Caenorhabditis elegans: one gene and its partners. The protein of the gene in region 4 interacts with the protein of the main gene of each other region in a pairwise test. Each region holds a gene or a part of one and is shown on either strand. Other genes may lie near its edges. The genes, in order: zip-1, C26C6.8, D1054.5 and dylt-1.

Region 1 (5,993 bases), on a different chromosome or scaffold from region 4:
GAAGATGATGATTGTTCATGGGGGTGGGCGGCAAACGATTTTTTCCGGCAAATTCCCGGCAAATCGACAAATTGCCGGAATCGAAATTTCCGGCAGATCAGTAAATTGTCTGATTTGAAATTTCCGGCAAATCGACTGCAAATTGCCGTAATTAAAAATTTCCGGCAAATAGGCAAATTGCAGGAATGGAAAATTTCGGCAAATCGACAAATTTTCGAATTTGAAATTTCCAGCAAAACGACATTGCCTGTATTGAAATTTCCGGCAAGTCGACATATTGCCGGAATAGAAACTTCCGGCAAATCGACAAATTGCCGGAATTAAAGTTTCCGGCAAATCGACATATTGTCGGATTTGAAATTTCCGGCAAATCGACAAATTGCCGGAATTGAAATTTCCGGCAAATTGTCGGATTTTGAATTTCCGGCAAATCGACGACAAATTGTCGGTATTGAAAATTTCCGGCAAATCGACAAATTGCCGGAATTGAAATTTCCGGCAAATCGACAAATAGCCGGAATTGAAATTTCCGACAAATCGGCAAATTGTCGGATTTGAAATTTCTTTCGGCAAAAACCGGCAAATTGTCGGATTTTGAATTTCCGGCAAGTCGCCATATTGCCGGAATAGAAACTTCCGGCAAATCGACAAATTGCCGGAATTAAAGTTTCCGGCAAATCGACAAATTGTCGGAATTGAAATTCCGGCAAATCGACGACAAATTGCCGGATTTGAAATTTCCGGCAAATCGACAAATTGCTGGAATTTGAATTTCCGGCAAAAACGGACAATTTGCCGAATTTGCCGAAAAAAAATTTGGCGAACCGTCCACCCCTGATTCGGTCATTTAAAGGCGCACACTGGTTTCAAAACAAATATTGTCGCGTCGAGACCCTTTTCGCTAAAATTAGATCTTGTTAGCTTCGAAGATACACTACTTGTCTCAACAAATTTACTTTCTTCAAACTGATCTACAAGGCCAAACTACGATCACTTTTTGTGTCGATCTTTCCTTCCGATCACATCATAGGACTACAGACAGCACTCTCTCCATTTCCCACACTATTTCTTGTCTGAGGAAATGCGGACAGCGTAAACAGAAAATTTCGTGTTTCTTTCTCTCTCGCTCTCTTCGTTATCAGCACTCTCTTCTCTGCTTCACTCTGGCGCCCTCTCCCACCCCATCGCCTAAAATTTTAAAGTGAGGAAGACCCCATTCGCTTCATTTCTGCCTTCGATTTCTGTAGTTTTTACTATTTTTGGAAGTCTAATTTGTTGGAAAAAAGTTGATTTCAATTAATAAATAGTACTTAACGTGAGTATTTCAAAATAGCCATGCAATGGAAGGAAAATCAGGAATTAAGCAAATGAATTGCACAGTTATATATAGTTATTAAAATTTTGCAAAAATAGATGTAAAATCTCCAAATTCCCACTTTTTTGTGCACAATTTGGAGGCTTAAGCTACGTGTTAACTTAGACAAGTTTTAGGCAGGTAGGCATCTAAAATTAGTAGCGAAATTGAAGGTTTCTGCTAAATTTGGCCTGTTTGAACAGTTTTTCATTTTTGATTGGTTCAAAAAATTGCCTGGGATTTTCTTGTTACGAACTATATTACCGATCCAGACAGAGAGAGAGAGCGTGTGTAGTCAATTGAAGAGACACAGACATCTCGGGACCCAAAGGGCGGTGCGCGGGGGAAGAGCCGATTTGTGTCGATTTACGGAGCGTTACTCTTAAAGGAGGACTAACGGTTCGAACAATTTTGAACGTATAGACCCAAAATGGACTCAAATGAACGAATTTCGTAATGAAACTTCTCAAAAAATTTTCAAAAATTTTTTATGGCGGTTCAAAATTTTGAAAAAATTGCACTGATTTTAGCTAAAATATCGAATTTTGCCCATTTTTCCGGGGTCGCAAAAATCAGTTCAGAACTCTGCGTCTAAATTTCCGCGATTCTCGTAGATCAAACCGATATGGGGCACTCTGACACCACGTGCACACTGTATTTATGTATTTATGACGGTTCAAATTTTAGCCAAATTTAGCTGAAATCTTCAATGTTGCCTCTAGGTACATTAGGCATCTAATTTTAAATGCCTACAGGCCTAAAATTTGCCTAACAGTTAACACGAGATAGGAACGCAAAATTGGAGGTTTTAGTTAGGTTTAGCTTTATTTTTTTGAAGTGTTACTCTTCCGTAAATCGACACAAATTGACTCTTTCCCGGGTCCCCAGATGCCTGTGTCTCTTCAACTGACTACACTCTTTCTGGATCGGTAATAGCTTAGCCTTTGTAGCATTCTCTGAAGTCCGATCCGATGACTCGTTCCGTTGTTTTTTTCCTGCAAATTTCCCAGTTGAAAATTCAATGCACACTTTTCAGAAAAGAAACTATCAAAAATGAACAATCAAAATAACAATTTCGTCGATTTCTCGGAAGATGATGATATGATGGATGCGGACTTTTTGGTAACTAGCCTTGAAAATGCGCCGCCTCATCCAATAACCGATTATTCGCAGGGAGTCGTCATACCGGATGACCTGATGAACGCTTCTCTTGAGTTTCAACGAACGGAGCCTTTTTCATTCATACCAGCCGAGGAGGATTTGGCTCCGATGGAGATTCTTCCGAATAATCAAGGGGATGTTGAAATGACGGCGGTGGATAAGAATCCGGATAAGGTATATTAAATAAGAGTTAGGCCCATGAATGCTTACCGGTTTCTAGGTATTGTTCGAACTTCGCGTCGAGACCCAAATTGAGCCAACTCTCAACTATATAAACGCGGAGAATGAGGCAGTTGAATGGGATATAAAGAGTTATTATGGTTAGTTGAATAACGGGTGTATAAATATAACGGATGTATAGTATTAATATATATATATATACAGTGCGTGCAACTTCTATAGCGCCCCCTATTTTTTTCGATTTTCAGTACTTTCCAAAATTTTTTTCGAAAAACGGTAAATGCCATTCGATTTTAAATGTCGAAAAACCCCCTTGTCGTAAATTGTCGTAAAAAACCCCTTGTCAAAAAATATGCGCTATAGAAGTTGCACGGTCGTTTTTAAGACTTTTTGACCTATAGTCCTCGCAGTGTTTGATATTTTTCGATAAAAATTTACGACAAGGGGTTTTTTGACATTTAAAATCAAATGGCATTCACCGTTTTTCGAGAAAAAAAAATTGGAAAGTACTGAAACTCGAAAATAATTGGAAGCGCGATAGAAGTTGTTCGCACTGTATATATATATATATATATATATATATATATATATATATATATATATATATATATATATATATATATATATATATATATATATACCAGCCGTGGCTTCTGGAGCTGACTTCTGGAGCTGAAAACCAATTTTTCTGAAACTACCGTAATCATACAGTACTCCTACCGTGCCACCATTGTACCACTACAGTACCCCAACTGCAGACTACAAAGACTACATAGACTACAAACTATGGACAAACGGAATAAGCGCTTTATATATAGTAAATGATAGTATTATATACTATAGTATTAATATATACATATATCATATATTATAGTATATATATATATATATATATATATATATATATATATAGTAATATATTATAGTATTAATATAGTATTAAAAAGTATGATATAAAAATCACCCGAAAATGGTGATAGGAGGAGTATAAGGGATGATTATCTCGAAAAATCATATATTTCTCTTGTCGGAAATAAATGTTAGCAACAGCAACATAAACATGATTCATACTTCCTTCGGAATTGCTAACACTTAAATTTTTTTCCCTGATCAATGACATTTATTACGATAAGCAGCATATGTGATCAATTAGCTGGTCAGCTATATAATTTATCATTAGGAATAATTGAAATTGAAAAACTTTAGAGCATTAATACTTTAGAGCATCACCGAAAAATCAGTTTTCAGTAATTTTTTTCCTAGTAAATTCGTAAAAATTTATTCCATTTTAAAGGCACATGATGTTTTTTCTGAGTGGGTCTCGTCACGATCTCTGTGCATGTGCAACATTTTTGGATATTAAAAGTTCGAAAGTGCACATATATAAAGCCAGGATTTATATGTATATGCGTGCCAGGCGTGGGCGGCAATAGGCAAATTGCCGGTTTGCCAATTTGCCGAAAATCGTGAATTCCGGTGATTTGCCGATTTGCCGAAAATTTTCAATATCGGCAATTTGCCAATTTGCCGGAAATTTTCAATTCCGGCAATTGCCGATTTCCCGGAAATTTTTAATTTCGGCAATTTTCCGATTTGCCAGAAATTTTAAATTTAGGCAATTTGCCGGTTTACCAATTTGCCGGAAATTTTAAATTCTTGCAAATTGCCGATTTTCCGGAAATTTTTAATCTCGGCAAATTGCCGATTAGCCCGAAATTCACAATTCCGGTGATTTTCCGATTTGCCGAAAATTTTCAATTTCGGCAATTTTCCAAATTTCCGAAATTTTTCAATTCCGTCAATTTTCCGATTTCCCAATTTGCAGGAAATTTTCAACTCCGGCAATTTTGCCGATTTGCCTGAAATTTCCAATTCCGGCAATTTTCCGATTTGTCGGACATTTTCAATTCCGGCAATTTTCCATTTTGCCGGAAATTCTCAATTCCGGTGATTTGCCCATTTGCCGGATATTTTAAATTACTGCGATTTTGCCGATTTGCCTGAAATTTCCAATTCCGGCAATTTTCCGATTTGTCGGACATTTTCAATTCCGGCAATTTTCCATTTTGCCGGAAATTCTCAATTCCGGTGATTTGCCCATTTGCCGGATATTTTAAATTACTGCGATTTTGCCGATTTGCCGGAAATTTTCAATTCCATCAATTTGCCGATTTGCCGGAAATTTTCAATTCCGGCAATTTTTCGATTTCCCAATTTGCCGGAAATTTTCAATTCCGGTGATTTTGCCGATTTGCCGGAAATTTTCAATTACTGCGATTTTGCCGATTTGCCGGAAATTTTCAATTCCATCAATTTGCCGATTTGCCGGAAATTTTCAATTCCGGCAATTTTTCGATTTCCCAATTTGCCCGAAATTTTCAATTCCTGTGATTTTCCGATTTGCCGGAAATTTTCAATTCCGGCAATTTTTCGATTTCCCAATTTGCCCGAAATTTTCAATTCCTGTGATTTTCCGATTTGCCGGAAATTTTCAATTCCGGTAGTTTGTCGATTTTTCGGAAATTTTCAATTCCATCAATTTACCGATTTGCCGGAAATTTTCAATTCCATCGATTTTCCGATTTTTCGGAAATTTTCAATTCCATCAATTTACCGATTTGCCGGAAATTTTCAATTCCATCGATTTTCCGATTTGCCGGAAATTTTCAATTCCGGTAATTTGTCGATTTTTCGGAAATTTTCAATTCCATCGATTTCCCAATTTGCCCGAAATTTTCAATTCCTGCAATTTGCCGGTTTCTCAATTTGCCCGAAATTTTCAATTCCGGCGAAATTGCCGATTTGCCGGAAAAAATCGTTCTCCCCCACCCTGTGCACCTTAGAATTATAAATATTACAATTTTCTACATATGACATCATACATCATATGAGCGAATCTTTAAAATTTGCCCGCCCGTGCTGAGATCGTGGCGAGACCCACTTAGAAAGCACCGTGCGCCTTTAAAGTAGAGTGGCGAATTAAAAAATGTTTTATTTACGAATTTATGATAGTTGAATTGGCAATTATTTTAAAGGAATTTAAATAATAGGAAATAATTGCTGATCGATTTTTGGAATTTACAGTTTTTACCGTTGAAAATTGAAAAAAATATATTTTCTTCCTCATATTTTTTTGCAATTTTAATTGTAATAAATCAGGTTTCATTCCTAATTAAACCAACTAATTTCACATTATTCCTCATAATAAATCAATCATTTCTGATTTTTTGACCCGTCGCTAATTGATGCCGAAATAGGCGAAAATAGGCGTGGTATTGGGATACTACAGGCGGACATA
Region 2 (5,530 bases), 200 kb from region 4:
CGATGCCAGCTGTGTGCTCCAAGAGACCGAGGGATCGACTGACAGGCAAAAAATTTGGAACACAAAAAGAAGAAAAAGAAGGTTAAGATATCTCCCTTTGAAGATTTGAGGTGAGAGACACTGACACCTGCATCTACACTTGATGATTGAAGAAATTATAACTTTTTATCCCACTAGACTATTTTATCTTTTCGGTTTTTATAGTGCATGAATAATAAGCTACTATGTTTGATTTAAAAAGTGCAGATTAGGTTGGGAAAATATTTGAACTGCAGGACTACCAAAGACCTCTGGGTTTCTATAGTTAACTTCAGTACAAAAATCGTATTTTAAAGTGTAGCTTTATGCTCAAAATATATTAAAGGTGGAGTGTCGCCAGTGTGGAATGTTCGGAATCACTCCTATTTGAAGCAAAGCATGGCAAAAAATTTTAGAATTCTTTTTTATTTACAGTCGATTATAATTGCGGAAGTAGCCCGAAAAAAAAACAAAATTTCCTACGTTTTTGGGTTTAATAATATTTAGTTAATTGTGTTTAAAAATTTCAATGTTGTGTAGTTTAACATTTCCTCACTCAACAGTGTTCAATATTTAAAAAAAATTTTGCAAGGAAAATTGGAAATATGCCAAAACTTCATCTGAAACAAAAGTTAAATGTTTAGTTTCTCTGTAAAAACGTAAAAATGACAAATATTGAAATAGTGAATTGAGACTTGAGAAGACTTTTAGATTTCAAAAAGATTTCAAGACTATTACACAAAAAAAAATCAGACAGAAACAAAAAACAAAAAAAAATTATTAAAAGATTGACACTGACATGTTTAAAAAGTCACAAAACATTTTCGAGTACGTAGTTACTCGAAAAAGAAAACTAAGATCTATATGACGTCATTTTGATCTGACACAGGTGACACATCTCATCCATCCCGTAGCTCTTCTCCCACAGAAACATTTTGTGGTGTGAAGTTACTAGATGCACACTTTACTACTTGAATGGAGGAGGTTAAATGATGAAAGAACAGAAGGATGCTCATTATGATTGTGATGTTTCAAATATTATAATTATTGTTTCACTTTTGCAAGTTCTATAAATTGATTGAAAAATTGACAAAACTCTGGATTCAGAAATTGCATTTTTCAAAATGTGTAAAATTTCAAAAATCGTGTTATAAATTTTAAAAAAGTCCAATGTTTCTGATAAAAAAATGTTTTAATTAGATGAAACACTGAAATTGTTCAGTTTTTGTCAGTGAACAAGAGAAATCACAGAAAAATTGTTCCGAAAGGGACTACTTTACTCCCTATTTGTCTTGAAATCTCTCAAAAATCAGTATCTTAGAAATTATAGTTAACCCACAAAAATACACTTTAAACCGTTCAAAATCTATTCATTATTTTTTCAAATAAGTTCAATATGTTATAGAACATCTTTGATATGAAGCATATAACAAACGTCATCATAAAACATCATATCACGTTCATAAAATCCTTTTCTTTGAGGAATTGTCTTGTTACAGATTGCACAACGGAAACAATCAATATGAAAGAGACGATTAAATGCAACAAGTCCTCGTTCAATTACTGGCAATGAGCATCCTGTAAAATTTGTTTTTTAAGTAATCGTAAGGGGCTCTAATCTTTCCTATATGTAGCTGAGTAATCAAAGTTCGTATAACCCGTGCAAAACCGAATTCACAAGCCATATCATTCAATTTTTAATTTCTACTAATCAGTACTTCGAAGAACTAAAAATACCTGTGCAAGATGGATGATTTGTTTGAATATGACATGCATAACATGATGGTTTCATTGGATCAATTGATGAACGGAAATAACGATTGTCCGAGATTTGAAGCTAAAATTGGATATTTTGAAATTTTGGAAGTGCTTTTTTCCGAACGCTTCCAAAACTAACTTTACAAAAAATGCATTGAATATGATCCCGATGCCACATTCGATTCAGAAAGAAGACAACTTTGTTCTAAAAATTACTTTTTTAAAGGAAATACACCAATTGTGGATTTACCTTTTCGACATCCTCCTCGGCGATTTTGGCTTTACATCCTGCACAATTGATAAACTCAATAGTCATTTTTCTAGTTTATTTGGAAATAAATTATTTTTTATTAAAATTGTATTCTTCGCCTCCGAATTTGTATTTAGTAAGCGGTTGCCACGTAACTGGTATTAAAATTTATTGGTTTTTAATTGAAAACTTCCAAACAAGATACAAAAGTTTATGCATCTCTGCATGGTAATCTCCAAAATACATAAAATATCACAGATTCCTTATTTCTAGGGCAAAATAAGCCATTATACTGAAGCCAAATAATACTGTCCGCCTTTCATGCCTTTCCCTCCCGAGACTCCATCTTTTTTTCCAATCAGATCCAATTTTCGGTGAACAAACAATAATTTGACATGCCTCTGTTGATTAACCGTGTTTTGTGAGCAATTCATTGGCTTTTCGTCGCACAAAAACAATGGGCATTAGGAGCATTTTTTGGAAAGTTGTATCTGGAAGAGGTGAGCACAGTTTGTCCCATTTTTTTTCTAATTTTAGCTGATTAAAAATAAAACCTCCAAAAATGAATTTCAGTGCCCGATAATGGTGGATGGGTTGACAGTATGCAAGTGGATCATTTTGATCCTTATACTCCAGGACAACTAACAAAAAACTTCACAGCAACTGTATAGTTTTCAGTTTTTCCAAATTACCCCAATTTCTAACCTCTCACTTTTAAGGTTGCTGACGAAATTAGTGTAACCCGTGGCACTACAGTTAAAGCAATTTATCGAGATGATCAATGGATTTATGTTGAGGTATCTGATGGAAGAAAAGGATTTGTTCCACAGACATATTGTAAATTGCTTTTGAATTCAAAACACGGTGAAAAGGTGAGCGTTTTAGATGTTCTAGAAAAGTTATTTTTAGTGCAAATCTTAAAGAATGCAACAACACGTGTAATTGTGGCATTTAATGATATTCATTTAAAACTACTGTATCCGGTCTCGACACGACCGAAATATGCGCAAAAGAATGTGCGCCTTGCGAATTACTGTAACCACACTCCTAATTATTTCCAATATTTCATAGATATTTCATAGTTTTGTCATTGAAAAATCGAAGAAAAGTGGTGAAAATCATTGTCACCTTTAGTGAGAACAACTTAGAAGCCACGTGATGTCAGAGAGTCCCATTTCGGTTTGATCTCCAAGAATTTCGGGAATGGAACCGTTGAGAAATCAAATCAAATACTTTTCAGAAAAAGGTGATCGGATCCAGCGCGACACTTGATCGCCGTTGGGAAAAATCAAATTTGCAGAGATTTATCGACAGTCTTCCTGTTCAAAAAGAAGAAGGAGAGGTTTTTAAAATGGTTTGTTTTGAATAAAGCTATTGAATATTCTTTTGATACTATCTGCAGGATGAGATATGCGAAGTTCAAATACTACAGTCATTTGATGGATCAGCTCCAGATGATATATCTGTGAAAGATGGAGAATCTGTCACAGTTTTGAATATATCAGATCCTGAGTGGACCTATATTCGAAATTCGGACAATCAATCTGGTTTTGTACCTTCTTCCCATGTTAAGATTCCACATGAAATATTGCAACAAGCTAGCCGTGTCATTAAAGAAAAATGGTATCGTAAGTTCGCAGTTTTCTGAAACGCTTAAAGGTGTACGGACTTATTCAGATGGGTCATGGGTGTTATTCTGTTTTTTTTTTCAGAATTAAAAGACTCAGAAGACGCGAAAATTTGTTATTTTTGCGCCAAAAATACAGTACCCGGTCTCGACACGATAACAATTTTGTTAAGTGTGAAAACGTGTGCGCCTTTAAAGACTACTGTAATGTAAATACAACTTTTCGTGCTCATAGTTTTTCTCACGATTAGTAAAATAAAATATATGTGTTTTGTGGTTTTTTAAAATAAATAAATACATTTTTTAACGGAGAATTATGAAAAATCTATGCAAATTCCTCAACAACGAAAGTTTGAAGCTACAGTACCCTTTAAAGGCGCACATCCGTTTACATTTGATAAAAAATATTGTCGTGTCGAGATTGAGTACCATATTTTTGGCGCAAAAATTGCAAAGTTTCGCGTATGGGTAATAAAAAATCAAAAGAATCGACTTTAAAATTGTTCACGAAATTCCCGAAAAAAGCAAAAGGGCCGTTGCAAGATAAAAAACTACTGCCATAAATGTTTTTCTCGTGCTTGCGTTTCAAAAGATTGCGAAATAAACTGATTATATTTTGGCTTGGCAAATTTATTTAATTTTTAGGGAAAATGAAAATCTTCTCGTAGTCGAACCTTTTTCTGGAAGATCACCTCTTGATCTAACAGTCCGACCAGGTGAATGGATAAAATGCACTGGAAGACCAGTAGATGATTGGTTGTGGGCCGTCCGAATCGCTGACGAGAAGCAGGGATTTATCCCGAATAAAGTTGTAATTTTGGCGACAGATCTTTGATGTTTGATTTATCGTTTGAATTTGTTTCATACCCGACCCATTAATAAAAATATTTTAAAAAAAGGTGAATTGGAAATGATAATAAATTTAGTGACTGAAGTGGGTAGTAAGAAATACAATCAAGAAACGAATAAATTATTGAAAATAAATAGGATTTAAGGTATTCGTGGGAATCATGAGAGGATAAAAACAGAAGGAGCACACATAACTGGTTATCAGAAAATACATTAAAAGAAAAAGAGATTCTTGTTTTCTGGATTGAACGGGGAGGCGAGATAGGGTAGGATAATTATGATAAAGTTATAAAAATTGCATAAAATTTTAACAAGAGATCCACTGATTTCATTGAGTTGGTCGGTCCATTACAAGACTACACGTACTCTTCAACAATTCATCGCGAAGTTTCCACAAAGCTTTTGTAACATCCTCTTCGCGAGCTACAGGTCGTCCGTTTTCAATTCTCTGAAATTATGAAATATATTTTACAAGAAGAAATAGTCGAACTAACCCTTATCCAATGAGATGGAGCGCGGGCATTTCCAGCTGGTTGGGTATTCCTGGCAGTTGCTCCTAGAGTTCGTTCCCATCGGCTTACCGACTTCTGTCGATTCTGGGCAAGTGATTCGATATACCTGTAAATGAAAAATCAATACTTGAAAAACAATTAAATTTCAAAAAACTCACTTGAGATATGCTTCCGAATGTAGAACTCTTCTCGAATGAATTTGATTCGGTGGTGCAACAAATGCAGGTACAACTGCTCGAACTACAGTTCGTCCAACATCTGTAACCACGATAGGTTGCATTTGTGGTTGTTGCTGTTGTGGAGGTGGACCAGGTTGTTGATGTTGTTGTTGAATCATTTGTTGAGGTGGTGCCTGATGATATTGTTGAGATGAAGAAGATCCTTGTTGGAACATTCCGTTTTGTGGTGGTCCCATTTGCATCTGTGGATGAGGTTGGCCACCTTGCTGAAAAAATTACATTTATTAAAAATGTTTTCATTGCGTTACAAACCTGATAATGCTGCTGATGTGGATGA
Region 3 (7,219 bases), on a different chromosome or scaffold from region 4:
CAACAACTGGCACCGATGGATATGTTTGGAGGCTCACCGGAGAACCGAACAACGCATCATTGATGTACGTAGTAGTTTGGATCGACTGGGTTTCAGCGTGCCTGGCTCAGATACTGGGCTCAAATGTAAAAATGTAACATGCAAAACAGAAGGCAAAAGACGAAATATATGATTTCTATCAAAAATTATGCATGTTGACACTGAACTTGTGTAGTCTCTTCAAATCTAAATGAAACGGTGGATTTCGTCTACAGTTAATGTGTTAACAAGCAAAATTATCTTTTCATGTGGAAAAATCAAGAGAATAGTTCTGACGGAAAGAGCTTAAAGGTGGTACGATGGAAAGCGCAGCTTGACACCTTTGTCCGTTTTCTTCCTTCAGAGAAAAAACGGACCCTAACAAGGGACGAGCTGCCTCGAAACAATCAGCTCGTCTGAGTTGTTTAATTCAGGGATGAATTGAAGAAAATCGAATTTCCGAAAAACTGAATTCACAAAACGCCTTCACTAGATTTTTTTAATTTCAGGGAAGACTGCCCCGTTGTTGTCTCAGTGACGGGTAAACTGGCTGATCAAATGTAAGCATCATAATCCTATAAATCATTCATTAACCATACTTTTTCAGATGCACCAGAACTGATTTCACTGGATACGCATGTGGAAAAGCTCCATAATAAATTCTCACAATAATAACTTGTTTGCTTTATTTTACAGGTTTCGTAAATAGACAATAGTAGTTTTTGTTTTAAGAACTTAATGAATTATTACTATTTTCAAGGATTGGCTCAGTTGTATAAAATAACCATGCATACAATGTTTCCCTAAATTGGAAAGTTCAGAACTTTCTGAACAGTTTTACAACATGCAGAAATAAGTAAACAAATTGTTGAAACATGTAAGGTTTCAAGAGTCATTATACATTCGTTTGATTATATTTTTGATACCTTATGGAATTCTATATAAAGTTGTTTTTCTAAAAATAAACGATAAGCCTAGCGAATAAAAGTATTGTGACAAATTAGTTATTTAGACTAGGCACGTGATGAGCATTTGAAACATAAGACATATTGTTTTCAAATTAAAAAAAATGAACCATATAACCATATAATTTTCATGAGTCACATAGTGACTCATGAAAATAAATGTTTCGAAATTTTTGAATTTTAGAGATAACTATTTTGTATTCTTGATTTTACACTTTCATGCATGTTGTTTTAAAGGTAAAAAATCTAACTGAAAATTTTGCAACTTCTTAGCATTTTGAAACGTTTATCTTTGAATATCCAAGTTTTGAAATTGATTTAAGAGTCTTTAAGTAGATAGCAGAATCAGCGAAAACAATTTTGTTCGTGACTTTGTCTTTTCACACTTTTGTTTTCGCAATAATTGGAACTAAATATTAATGTCTGATAACGCACTCAGTTTTGATAATTTCACTCTTCACGGAGTCTCCCAAATAATTCGCGCTCATTTTTTGAAATGAATAATGATCAATTCAAACATTTAAATATCAACGAACACTTTTTCTGAAAACATGGGTAATGTTTGTATTATACATTTGACCTTTCCATTTCACAGGATTAAAATTAATTATGTTTATCTATCACCTAACACTTTCTGAACGTTTTAGAATTAAAGTAAACGCATTTCAGAAAGAGCTATGATGTAACTGGACATACTTTCACCGTAGTCGTCAATTTTAGAAGAGGTATCGAAAGAATACAGTTTAATCAATATAAAAATTTTTTAAAGGTCTTTAAGTATCGTCACTCAGAAAGTTTCTTCTCGAATGTCCAAATATCAGAATGAAACTTATAAAAACTTGTACAATTTTTTTTTGAAGTTAAGTCAAAAAGGTGTTGAAAACTAAGTCTTCACCTATGATAATTTCGGAAGTCGGCCAAATATTATAATTTTTTTTTCATGGCAATTTACCAAAAACTAACTGAACATTTTAAATAACCTAACATTTTTTGGATGTTTTTTATTATACACGCCCTGTTTAACTATAATAAGTATATTTACTCAGTTAGACTGAATCCCCACAGTCACTACTCCACCATTAATAATTCATTTTCAAAGCTATATTTTCTTTAATACTTAAACCAAGACAAAGGGTTTTCCGAAAGTTGGCAAATTATCGTATTGTCTACTTTTGTTTATTGTTTTACACAGCAAAGTTGTTGTTATCACTTTGTTAATTTAACTATTCACGTACAGCATTCCGTCGGTGCACATTCCTTCTGTTTTCACTGATAACTCAATTCTCTAACCTTCTCTTTTTCTTGGCGTCCTCTCAACTCAAAAAGTGTTATCATTTAATAGTTCTCTGAAAATTCAGATGTGTCAGCACATTCATGAATCGATTGATTTGACCAAATACTATTTGAGCATCATTCTTCCTTATTCGATAATATTACTATCAGTTTGATATCTTCACAATTGATCACCAGTTCCGCTTTTTTGTTTTCGTTTCCCTTTTAAAAAGTTATTTTAGTAGTAAACCGTTCAATCTATTGATACTGACAAACGTTTTTTATTAGTCACTCTTTTCGATTTCTGCAACAATTATGATCAGCATTATGTTCAGAAGTATGCTGAAATTTGTGAAAAAGAAAGCTTCTGGGACTAATTCACTGCAAAATGTTGAGATATCGAGACCTACGAATTTGATTGTTTCAAAACATAAATTGGTTCGAACCGACACAGACTTTATTCTTGTTATGGAAGATGATAAGTGAGTTTACATTTTTTGTAAGAAAATCAGATTTAAGTTTATTTGAAAATTGTAACTAGTAGTTCGCTTTTTTGCAAACTTTTGATCTCTTCTGTAGCTACTGTAATCAAACTATTAATATAATGTGTTTTGTTATTGATTTGGTGAATGCCGTAGACATAAAATACGATTGCCTCAACGTCATTTTAAATTGATATAAAATTTTATTTGGGTATACATGGAGCGTTTGATAAGTTCTACAAAAGTGAAATACCAAAGAAGTTATTACAATAGGCTTTCAATAACAGAAGGGATTTGGTTTTGAACTGTTACAGATAATCATAATATGAAAAAGAAAAAAGTCAACAATTGGGTGGGACCCTTTGAGAAATTTGTATCGAATAGGTGAAAACTCTTTTTGAATAATTTTCCTTGAGATTCCAAATAGAAAATTTAAAAACAATTTAATAAATACAGCTTATGAAATTCAAAAAAAGTCCTCCAAAATTATAGTGTTCCTGAAGTTTTCATTTGAATTACCTTGAACTTGACCAACGTTGTGGTTTTTGTATTCTCTGTTTTTTAGTCAGCTGGAGCAACTTAAAGAAATTCCCAAATCAAACCTGAAATTTCAAAAATATAAGTTTCATTTCATAATTTTGTGTTACAGAATTATTGGAATCCTTGATAAAAGGGATCTTGAATTGGCAGTTGTTCCGACTGATATCGCTCCATCTCTATCTTCCATTTCTCCTCCATCATCATCAGTTTTGCCCACTGATTCTCAGACGTACCTGGCACCAGATAGCATTCGATCAATTGGAGGTAATTATGTAAAACTAATAGTATTAAAAGTATTAGCTCATTAGTTTCAGCGAAAATAAAAAAATTAAACTGTAAACAACATAGTGACTGGTACGATACCAACTTATTTCCAGAACGTACCCCCCTTCCATTGTCATCACCAACTGGAGTCTCACCGAGTCAATATAAAACATTGCCAGCCGGCTTTGGAGCTAAACACCAATCGAACATTCCACGTTTTCAGTGGCAATCCTCACAGAATAATATGACCAGTTATGGGGAACAAGGCTCAAGCTATCGGGTATGTACATGTTTAACTTTGAAATCTCCAATGTATATTGTATTACGTATGCAATGGGATTTTTCGCCCTATCTCAAGCGAATTGGTCTCACCACGGGGACAGCTAGTTACTGAAGCTAGTGTCGATTTATGTGGTTATTTTTATTTTAGAAATCTTACGTTTTTGATTGATTAAATGGTAAGGTTTAAGTAGTATTTCTATCAGGTTGTCCCATAAGTTTTTGTACTATTTTTTTTTTGAAAAAAATTTATTTCTCTCAAGCGACAAGTAGTACTATTCACACAAGTATTCACCATTAGTGTCCACCACTTGTTGCCATTTACTAGGTAACATCATGATGCCACGGGAGAAGAAATCCGGCGAACGCGATGAGAAGAAAGTGGAGAGTTCAGTTTTGAGATGCTCTTCGTCGTCGAATTGCTTGTCGCGCATGTAGTCACTGAGAGACAAGAACAAATGGTAGTCGGTTGGTGCAAGATCTGGAGAATATGGTGGATGCGGTAAAACAGTCCAACCAAGATCTTGCAGCTTTTGGAAAGTCTTCTTGGCGACATGAGGCCTAGCATTATCGTGAAGAAAATATAGTTTTTCATATTTTCCGTTGGTCTTTTCTGCAACTCGGTCCAATTGGGCACAATAGTAATCAGCAGTGATAGTTTTATTAGTTGGCAACAATTCCCAGTGCACGGGTCCTTGAACACCCCACCAGACACAGATCATAATCTTTTTTGGGCTTTGGCGTCGGTATTCCTTTCTCACCGATCGGAAGCCATTGACGTTTTCTGGAATGGTTAACATAGAGCACCCACTTCTCATCTCCAGTAACCAGATTGTTCAGCCAATCGAACTTTCGACGAAAAGTTAGAAGTTGAGTACAAACGTTGACCCGAGTGAGCTTCTGTGATGCCGAAAGTTCATGAGGCACCCAAGTTCCAAGTTTTGAAGTAAAACCAAGGCGACCCAAGTGACGTGCAATTGTGCTATGACAACACTCAAGCTTCTCTTCCATTTCACGAAGACTAAGACGAGGCTCTTCCTCCACCAGCTTCACTAGGTCTTCTTCATTTAACTCTACCGGTCGCCCAGAACGTTCTATTTCTTCGAGACTGAAGTCGCCGTTCTTGAACTTTTGAAACCAACTCTTTGCTGTATTATAAGAGAGTGCTCCCTCACCCATCGCACCGCATATGTTTCGTTCCGCTTCCATTGCTGAATGACCAAGACGAAATTCATAAAGAAGAAGCAATCTAACGTCTCGACGTTCAAGTTTGATGATTGTCATCGTGGCAAAGTAGAAATGGATGAAATGAATCTTTTCTGAAAGGGGACGACCCGACCTTGACACGACCTACGATGAAAAAATTTTAAAACTTTCTAGAAGTTTTGGAAAAATATTTGAAAAAAAGTACAAAAACTTATGGGACAACCTGATAATAGTAAGTATAGCTATTACTACATATGAGATTATTTGTATGCTACCTTTCATGTTTTTTGTTGAAAAGGATGATGCAATACCATAAATCGACGCAAGCCACAGTAACCTTTTTACAGTGTGACGTGACACTTCTCAAATGTATTATCAAATTTGTTAGTACGAAATTAGAAGAATTGTAAATTTGAACAGTTTTGTATTTTACAGAATATTTACGTTCCATACCGAATATTGTAATGTTTTTAAAGTACACTTAAGTCCACAACAAAATAATAAATAACATTCCTTCCTGTTTACAGTCTACAAGTGTGGAACAACTTTTTTCGCCTCCGATTCTCTCCGCAAATGGTCGTAATCGTTCTGAATCTGCTCTCCGACCACAGGGAAGTCATAAATATGACACGATATCGTTCTCACCGTCATCGAATCAATTTCCGGGTTCATCTAGTGCACAATGCAATGTCGAGATTCGTTTGGGCGATGATCGTACACCACCTCCACCGCCAAATCGTGCTCCACCAGCACCATTGAGCTTCACGCGATGCCACAACACGATTGTCCATCCAGAATGCTCTTTTCAGCTAGATTACACTGAAGTGCAAACTGTTTCTGTTGAAGATCCGGATTTGAAAGATATGTCTCTTGAAGAGATGAGGAGGCATGCAGAAGACATTGAATCCTATATTCAGGTGATCAGAGCTATTATCTTCAATTGAGTAATATAACGTTTCAGGATCAAGTAAAACAACAGTGGAGCCAGCAGAAAAACGAAACGGAGAAATGGATCGAACAAATAGCTGGAAAGGTCGCCAAGACCGAGACAATGAATACCATCAGATTGGAAATGACAAATAAGAAACGTCCATCACTATCACAAGCTTTTCTTCCATTTGAATCAGATACGAGCTCACAATCCACAGATCCAACAGATCCGGAACCACATAATGGTTATGAAAAATTATACACCTCCAGAGACAAAGCAGTTATCAAGCGTCAGGGGACCAACGAATCTGAAGGGGATATCGAGGATATGAGATTTTAATTAAACTTTAAAACAAAACATTTGACATGAAGTTTCATTTTTGGCGGTGTTCATATAACAAAATAAGAATTTAATCATCACTTTTCATATTCCTTATATTCCATACATGCTGGTGGCTGACATTCCGTTTTCTTTTGACCAATTTCAGACCAATTTGTAGACAAGACGGTTCCATTTGATTCACTGAAAATAATCACTATAATCTCTTGGTTTTCAGGCAATAACGATTTACGAATAGCTCTTCATCATGGCACGTCGGACATCATCCGAAGCGTCGTTGTACATCTTACGGAACATTTTGTTTACAGCGGCATCACCTTCCAGCGATTCATCTTCCTCTTCTTTTACAGCTTGTTTCTCGATAGCATCCCAATTCTTTTTCACAGTAGTAGTTGGTGCACTTTCTGGATTTGGTGATACACTCTGTACAGAAGCGGCAACACCTTGTCCGTCTTTCAGCAGAGAAGCCCATCGTTCATTGCGAGCGAATTTCGGAAGTCGAACTTCTACCTGGAATAAGTTTTAAATAAAAGTTGTTTTATTCAAAAATTTTGCTCTGGACGTTTTTAAATCCAATCAAGTTATTATGGAACGCAATTTTTTATTTTTTTTTGTGGTTTCGGACAGTCAGTTCACAATTATCGCTTTTGAGGGAATGATCATCACGATTACATAAAAACCGCTAACACTCGGCTTATTGTCACTCAGCGAGTGACTCATCATCCTGTCGTTACCGAACCACAACTGTATGCGTAGTAAGGGTATATTCTACCACTGAGCCACATGTCCTTACTTGGTACAATCTATAACTCGTTCAGGTGAATGTAGAGCATTAATAGCATTAATAGCTAGCATTTTCTGACTAGACGCAATTTCTCAGACTATTCTTGAATAACTGTTTCAATCGAGTTAAAATAAACTAC
Region 4 (4,553 bases):
GTCTCTGCGTCTCGTGTCTCCGAGTGATCTCTAATTTTCTCGCTCCGTCTGCTCGCGTCGTTGGAAAAACGACTCTGGCGCGAGTTAGTTTTCCTAATAGACGGCTTCTCCGTTTAGCTTCTTTAATTTATTTTATTGTTTTTCGGCAAAGTGGTTCCCTTCAGCTCTTTATTCATTGATTTTAAGTTTTAGATGGTGTTCCAACCAATCCACGAGGAAGAGCAAGTTTTCGTCGACTACGCCATTGAGTTGGTTAAAAAAGCTGGAACGGTGAGTTGAATTCGGATTAAAAAATCAAACTGTTTCCTAAAACAACAACGTCGTTATTATCTTTGTCTTATTTTTGTTAATTTTACAAATATGCACATTTAAATCAAATGCGTAACTCGAAAAACAACATTCTCTATTCCTCAGTTACGAAACAAATTTTATTATTTGAAAAAACATCAATATTCGAAAAAAACATTTTCAGCTCGTCCGTACCGCGTTTGACTCCCCGGAAAGCAAGGTTGACACAAAATCATCGAATACTGATTTGGTGACTGAAACTGACCAAGCTGTTGAAAAGCTTCTCATCGAAGGGCTCTCCGAGAGATTCAAAGGACATAGGTAAGAGCAAGGAATTCCCACGGTCCGCTCGATTTCACTCATTGTCTCCATGACAACCAGTTGGACTTTCTTTTTCAATCGAGTATTTACATAAATTTACTATTTTGATTCAGATTCATTGGCGAGGAATCTGTAGCCGGAGGTGCGAAAATTGAATGGACTGATGCACCAACATGGATTATTGATCCGATTGATGGAACTACTAACTTTGTTCATAGGTAAGATTTTTTTTAAATCGGACTCTTCAAATAATGGCAAATCGCGTTATTTAATTTCTAATTTGGACTCAAATTTTTCTCGAAAAACAAATTCTTATGTTATTATAGAATCCCTATGATCGCAATCTGCGTTGGACTTGCAATCAAAAAACAAATTCGTGCTGGAATCGTATACAATCCAATCACTAATGAACTTTATCTCGCTCAACTCGGAAAGGGAGCTTTCAAAAATGGATTTCCAATCCGAGCATCAAAGAATCAATGTAAGTAATTGCACTTTTCTTGTCATGCACCCTGCTTTTTGAAGTGCTTTCAAAGGGAGTTCTCTGTCAATCTCTCGGTCTGCATAATCGTGTTCAGTTCGGCGATCGCTGGCTCGACATTGCCCAGTCAAACATGCGAAATCAAGTGATGGCTGGTGTGCGAGGGTTTGTTTTAATTTTTTGGTCTAAAATTGATTACTTTTTTACAAAAAATATACCTCCACACTTCCCGCGCTGGTTTTGCACGTTTTACTTTCAATTTTATTTACATTCACATAGAAACGTTGCAAATTCCAGTCATTGCGGAAAGTGTGCTCATACTTCAACTTGGCTCAATTCGATCTCCTGTTATGCAGAAATCATTTGTTGATTCTTACAAGACTGTTATGTTCGACAAACAATGTCACGGGTACTTATAAATATTTTTTATATTCTTGTCGAAATCTAGTGACTTTCTTGAACTGTGCGTTTGCAAATTTTTTGAAAGTTTTACTAAAATTGAGAAATGGATAAGATGGAAAAGTTAGATGTTGGATGGACAAAGTTTAATATGAAAAAAATCACGAGGATGATGTGATATTATTATTTTTAATATTGTTATACATAATAAAAGTTATTTGAAAAAAATCCAAGTTTTTTTTTCAGACACCGTTCGTTTGGCTCCGCCGCGATCAACATGGTGATGGTTGCACAAGGAAGTTGCGATGGATATGTTGAATACGGGATTCACGCTTGGGATGTTGCTGCTCCTTCTATCATTGTCACAGAAGCCGGAGGTGTTGTCACTGATCCAACTGGATCCCCATTTGACGTCATGTCAAGAAAAGTTCTCTGCGCTGGAACAGCTGAACTCGGACGCGATTTATCTGCATGCCTCACTCATGTCGATTTCGAGCCGGAAGCCTAAATATATATTTAACTATTTATTTTCAAAACTCACATATTGTGACATAACATTCCTACCATAACATGCATTATCTGTATTTCCAATTTAATATTAGTTTTTTGATTTTATTTTCTAGTCGTATGTATTCTCGTTTTATGAGAATAAATTATTTAAAGATGTTTATATCTTAATTTCTGATACTTCAATTGCCGTTTGAGCGCACTTGATTTATTTATACTGTCTCTTTTTTAATAATTAAACTCAATATTCAGCTCTCACAAGCTCAACATCATGGCTTTGGCAGAGGAGGACGTTCACATGATCATCAAGCAGGTACCGATATTTTATATGTCTACTGTATTAATTCTTTGAAAAACTATAATTTTTGAGTTGATTATTGTTTATTCACATTCTCGTAATCCAATAATCTTTCAGGTACTCGACGAGGTTGTAGGCGCAAGCACCCAGTATACCCACAAGGACAGTGTTCAGTGGAATCAGAAGGCCGTCGAACAAATAACGAAGAAGCTAGTGGCAGCGGGAAAACCATACAAATATGTGGTTACCTCGTCGTTCCTTCAGATCTCGAGCGGTTCCGGTCTCAATGTTAGCACGATTTCCTACTGGAATAAAGTCACGGATTGTGAGTTAACATTTTGTATTAAAACATTAAATAATAAAGAGGGAAATAAATTTATTACTCACAAAGTTCTGATTTTGAAAGTTGGTATTCAACTTATAGCTCAAAAAATCTCATTTTCAGCCTCGTACATGTACCGTTGGGAAGCCAAAACAATGCTTGCAATCGTCTATGTTTTTGCAATTGCAATTTAACAATCCACAGCTTCATCTTATATGTCTACTCTGGTTTTCCTCGTTTACCGCCAATTCTCCCCTTATTTCTGATTGTTTTTTTCTTCCCCATTCATCACACACTATCATGTTTTATATTCAGACCTATTACCTGTCCAGAAAAACTGAGCTGAAAAAATCCGGACGAGCAGCTCCTTCACATTCAAAATCTTCCATCATTTCCCCCACTCAATTCATTTGTTTTGTCTTTGATTTTCAAATTTTTTGCCTTATTATTTTATTGCTAAATTAATGAAAACTGTTACTCCTCATTTTGACCGTCGCACTCATTGAAGGTAGTTCGAGATTAGATGTTCAGATAACTTGCGGGACGCGTTAGGACACAAAACAAGTGCGTCAGATCAGCCAAAATGCTTCCACGAATAATTCCATCGGTTCTGTCTGTGGTATTACTTTTTTCGTTTTTATTTTTTGTAACGGCAGTCTTACTTCAATTTATGTAAGTATTGATAGTTAAAAATTATCACCGTTCAAAAATGATTGAAACGATAAATTTCCAGTCGAATCGATTCACCAGATCTTGAAAATGAAGAAGTATTTCATTCGGCACCTTATGATATATTCATTTATTCTGCATTTTATTATAATAAATCAAAAAGTCTCGGAGATTCTTCAATGGTTATTCTGATGACTGCTGATTTTGAAGTTTTGGAAAAAGTTAAAAATCTTGAACTTTTGGGCATAAATGACACGAGTCGAGCTATGACATCTGCTGAATTGGAAAGGTTTGTGTATTTAATTTCTTATTTTTGTGTTGATTCGAAGTTTTTGAGCTTTTCGGCACCAATTAAATAAGATTTGAAAATTCAATGAAAAAATTCAAAAAAAAAACCAAGAAAGGGGCGGAGCTTATTCTGAAATTTTGCAGGATCGGTAATCAACTATTTCCTATGATTAAACCGTTCAAAACTAAAGGCAGAATAATCTAATACCTTGGTTTTTTTTGAAATTTTTGCATAAAAGTTCCATGTACCTAATAGATGTTTTTCAAACCTGGAAACAATTCTGGCTATTTCTGAAAAATACATAAAACAATACAAAGTAGATGGTAAATCGAGAAAATGGAAGAGTGGCCGAGAAAATATGCGAATCTCGGTCATCTACCATCTGCAGATGCATCTGTCGATTTAAGAAAAATTATAAGGCCGTCAGATATCCGAGATTTTTATACAACTCACCAACTTCCTTGTTTGATTCTCCTCCAAAATGAGAACTACAAGACAAATCAGACGGATCTCAAAGTCGCTGATTGGATCAAACGTGGGCGGAGCGATTAATTTATTGGTTTTGCAGTTCTCATTTTGGAGAAAATTCAAACATGAAGATTATCGGGAGTTGGAAATACGAAATTTGAGGCAAATGTAGTTCTGCTAATATTTTCTTTTGAAGGAGCATACTTCTTCAATCTCTCAAACTTCAGAGTAACAATCCATGATGCGTGTAAATGGATTGCAATGACTGCAACTGCAAAAATAGTTCTAAATCCGTCGCTTTTATTGGTTTCTTTAGGTGGAAATCATGCGCCGGTGAGTTTTTGAGCTGTCAGTTACTTTTTGAAAATTGTATAATATCCCATTTTTATCAGATTCCATTCGAAGTTGTTTCTTCGGAACCTAAACCTGTTGTAATGTGCATTTCTCCACTCTTCGCTGCTGAAAATTGGCACAATCTTCTTGTTTCTCTTCATGTATATAAAATATTCGG

What was found.
Region 1: the proteins of dylt-1 (region 4) and zip-1 interact in a two-hybrid assay, tested with the Caenorhabditis elegans proteins (one large-scale study listed by BioGRID).
Region 2: the proteins of dylt-1 (region 4) and C26C6.8 interact in a two-hybrid assay, tested with the Caenorhabditis elegans proteins (one large-scale study listed by BioGRID).
Region 3: the proteins of dylt-1 (region 4) and D1054.5 interact in a two-hybrid assay, tested with the Caenorhabditis elegans proteins (one large-scale study listed by BioGRID).

The regions. Positions count from the first base shown.
Region 1 is NC_003281.10:12,334,517-12,340,509, forward strand, and holds the start of zip-1 (BZIP domain-containing protein), read left to right. Parts: upstream 1-2,390; 5' UTR 2,391-2,407; coding exon 2,408-2,689; intron 2,690-2,735; coding exon 2,736-2,835; intron 2,836-3,149; exon of another isoform or gene 3,150-3,276; intron 3,277-5,993.
Region 2 is NC_003279.8:7,502,534-7,508,063, reverse strand, and holds C26C6.8 (SH3 domain-containing protein), read left to right. Parts: upstream 1-2,421; 5' UTR 2,422-2,483; coding exon 2,484-2,526; intron 2,527-2,599; coding exon 2,600-2,691; intron 2,692-2,745; coding exon 2,746-2,898; intron 2,899-3,266; coding exon 3,267-3,380; intron 3,381-3,428; coding exon 3,429-3,649; intron 3,650-4,298; coding exon 4,299-4,488; 3' UTR 4,489-4,541; downstream 4,542-5,530. Other genes in the region: C26C6.6 (LIM zinc-binding domain-containing protein), read right to left, coding at 1,418-1,596, 1,756-1,855, 1,916-1,981, 2,027-2,092; pbrm-1 (Bromo domain-containing protein), read right to left, coding at 4,831-4,950, 4,997-5,120, 5,173-5,459, 5,506-5,530.
Region 3 is NC_003283.11:10,771,930-10,779,148, reverse strand, and holds D1054.5 (CBS domain-containing protein), read left to right. Parts: upstream 1-2,570; coding exon 2,571-2,737; intron 2,738-3,386; coding exon 3,387-3,541; intron 3,542-3,654; coding exon 3,655-3,821; intron 3,822-5,553; coding exon 5,554-5,943; intron 5,944-5,987; coding exon 5,988-6,296; 3' UTR 6,297-6,373; downstream 6,374-7,219. Other genes in the region: D1054.3 (SGS domain-containing protein), read right to left, coding at 6,374-6,479, 6,529-6,806.
Region 4 is NC_003279.8:7,298,609-7,303,161, reverse strand, and holds dylt-1 (DYnein Light chain (Tctex type)), read left to right. Parts: upstream 1-2,248; 5' UTR 2,249-2,267; coding exon 2,268-2,309; intron 2,310-2,411; coding exon 2,412-2,619; intron 2,620-2,739; coding exon 2,740-2,810; 3' UTR 2,811-3,097; downstream 3,098-4,553. Other genes in the region: Inositol monophosphatase ttx-7, read left to right, coding at 193-270, 473-609, 723-827, 936-1,090, 1,135-1,255, 1,736-1,997; BAH-4 (Glycosyltransferase family 92 protein F13G3.3), read left to right, coding at 3,200-3,288, 3,350-3,574, 4,270-4,375, 4,435-4,553.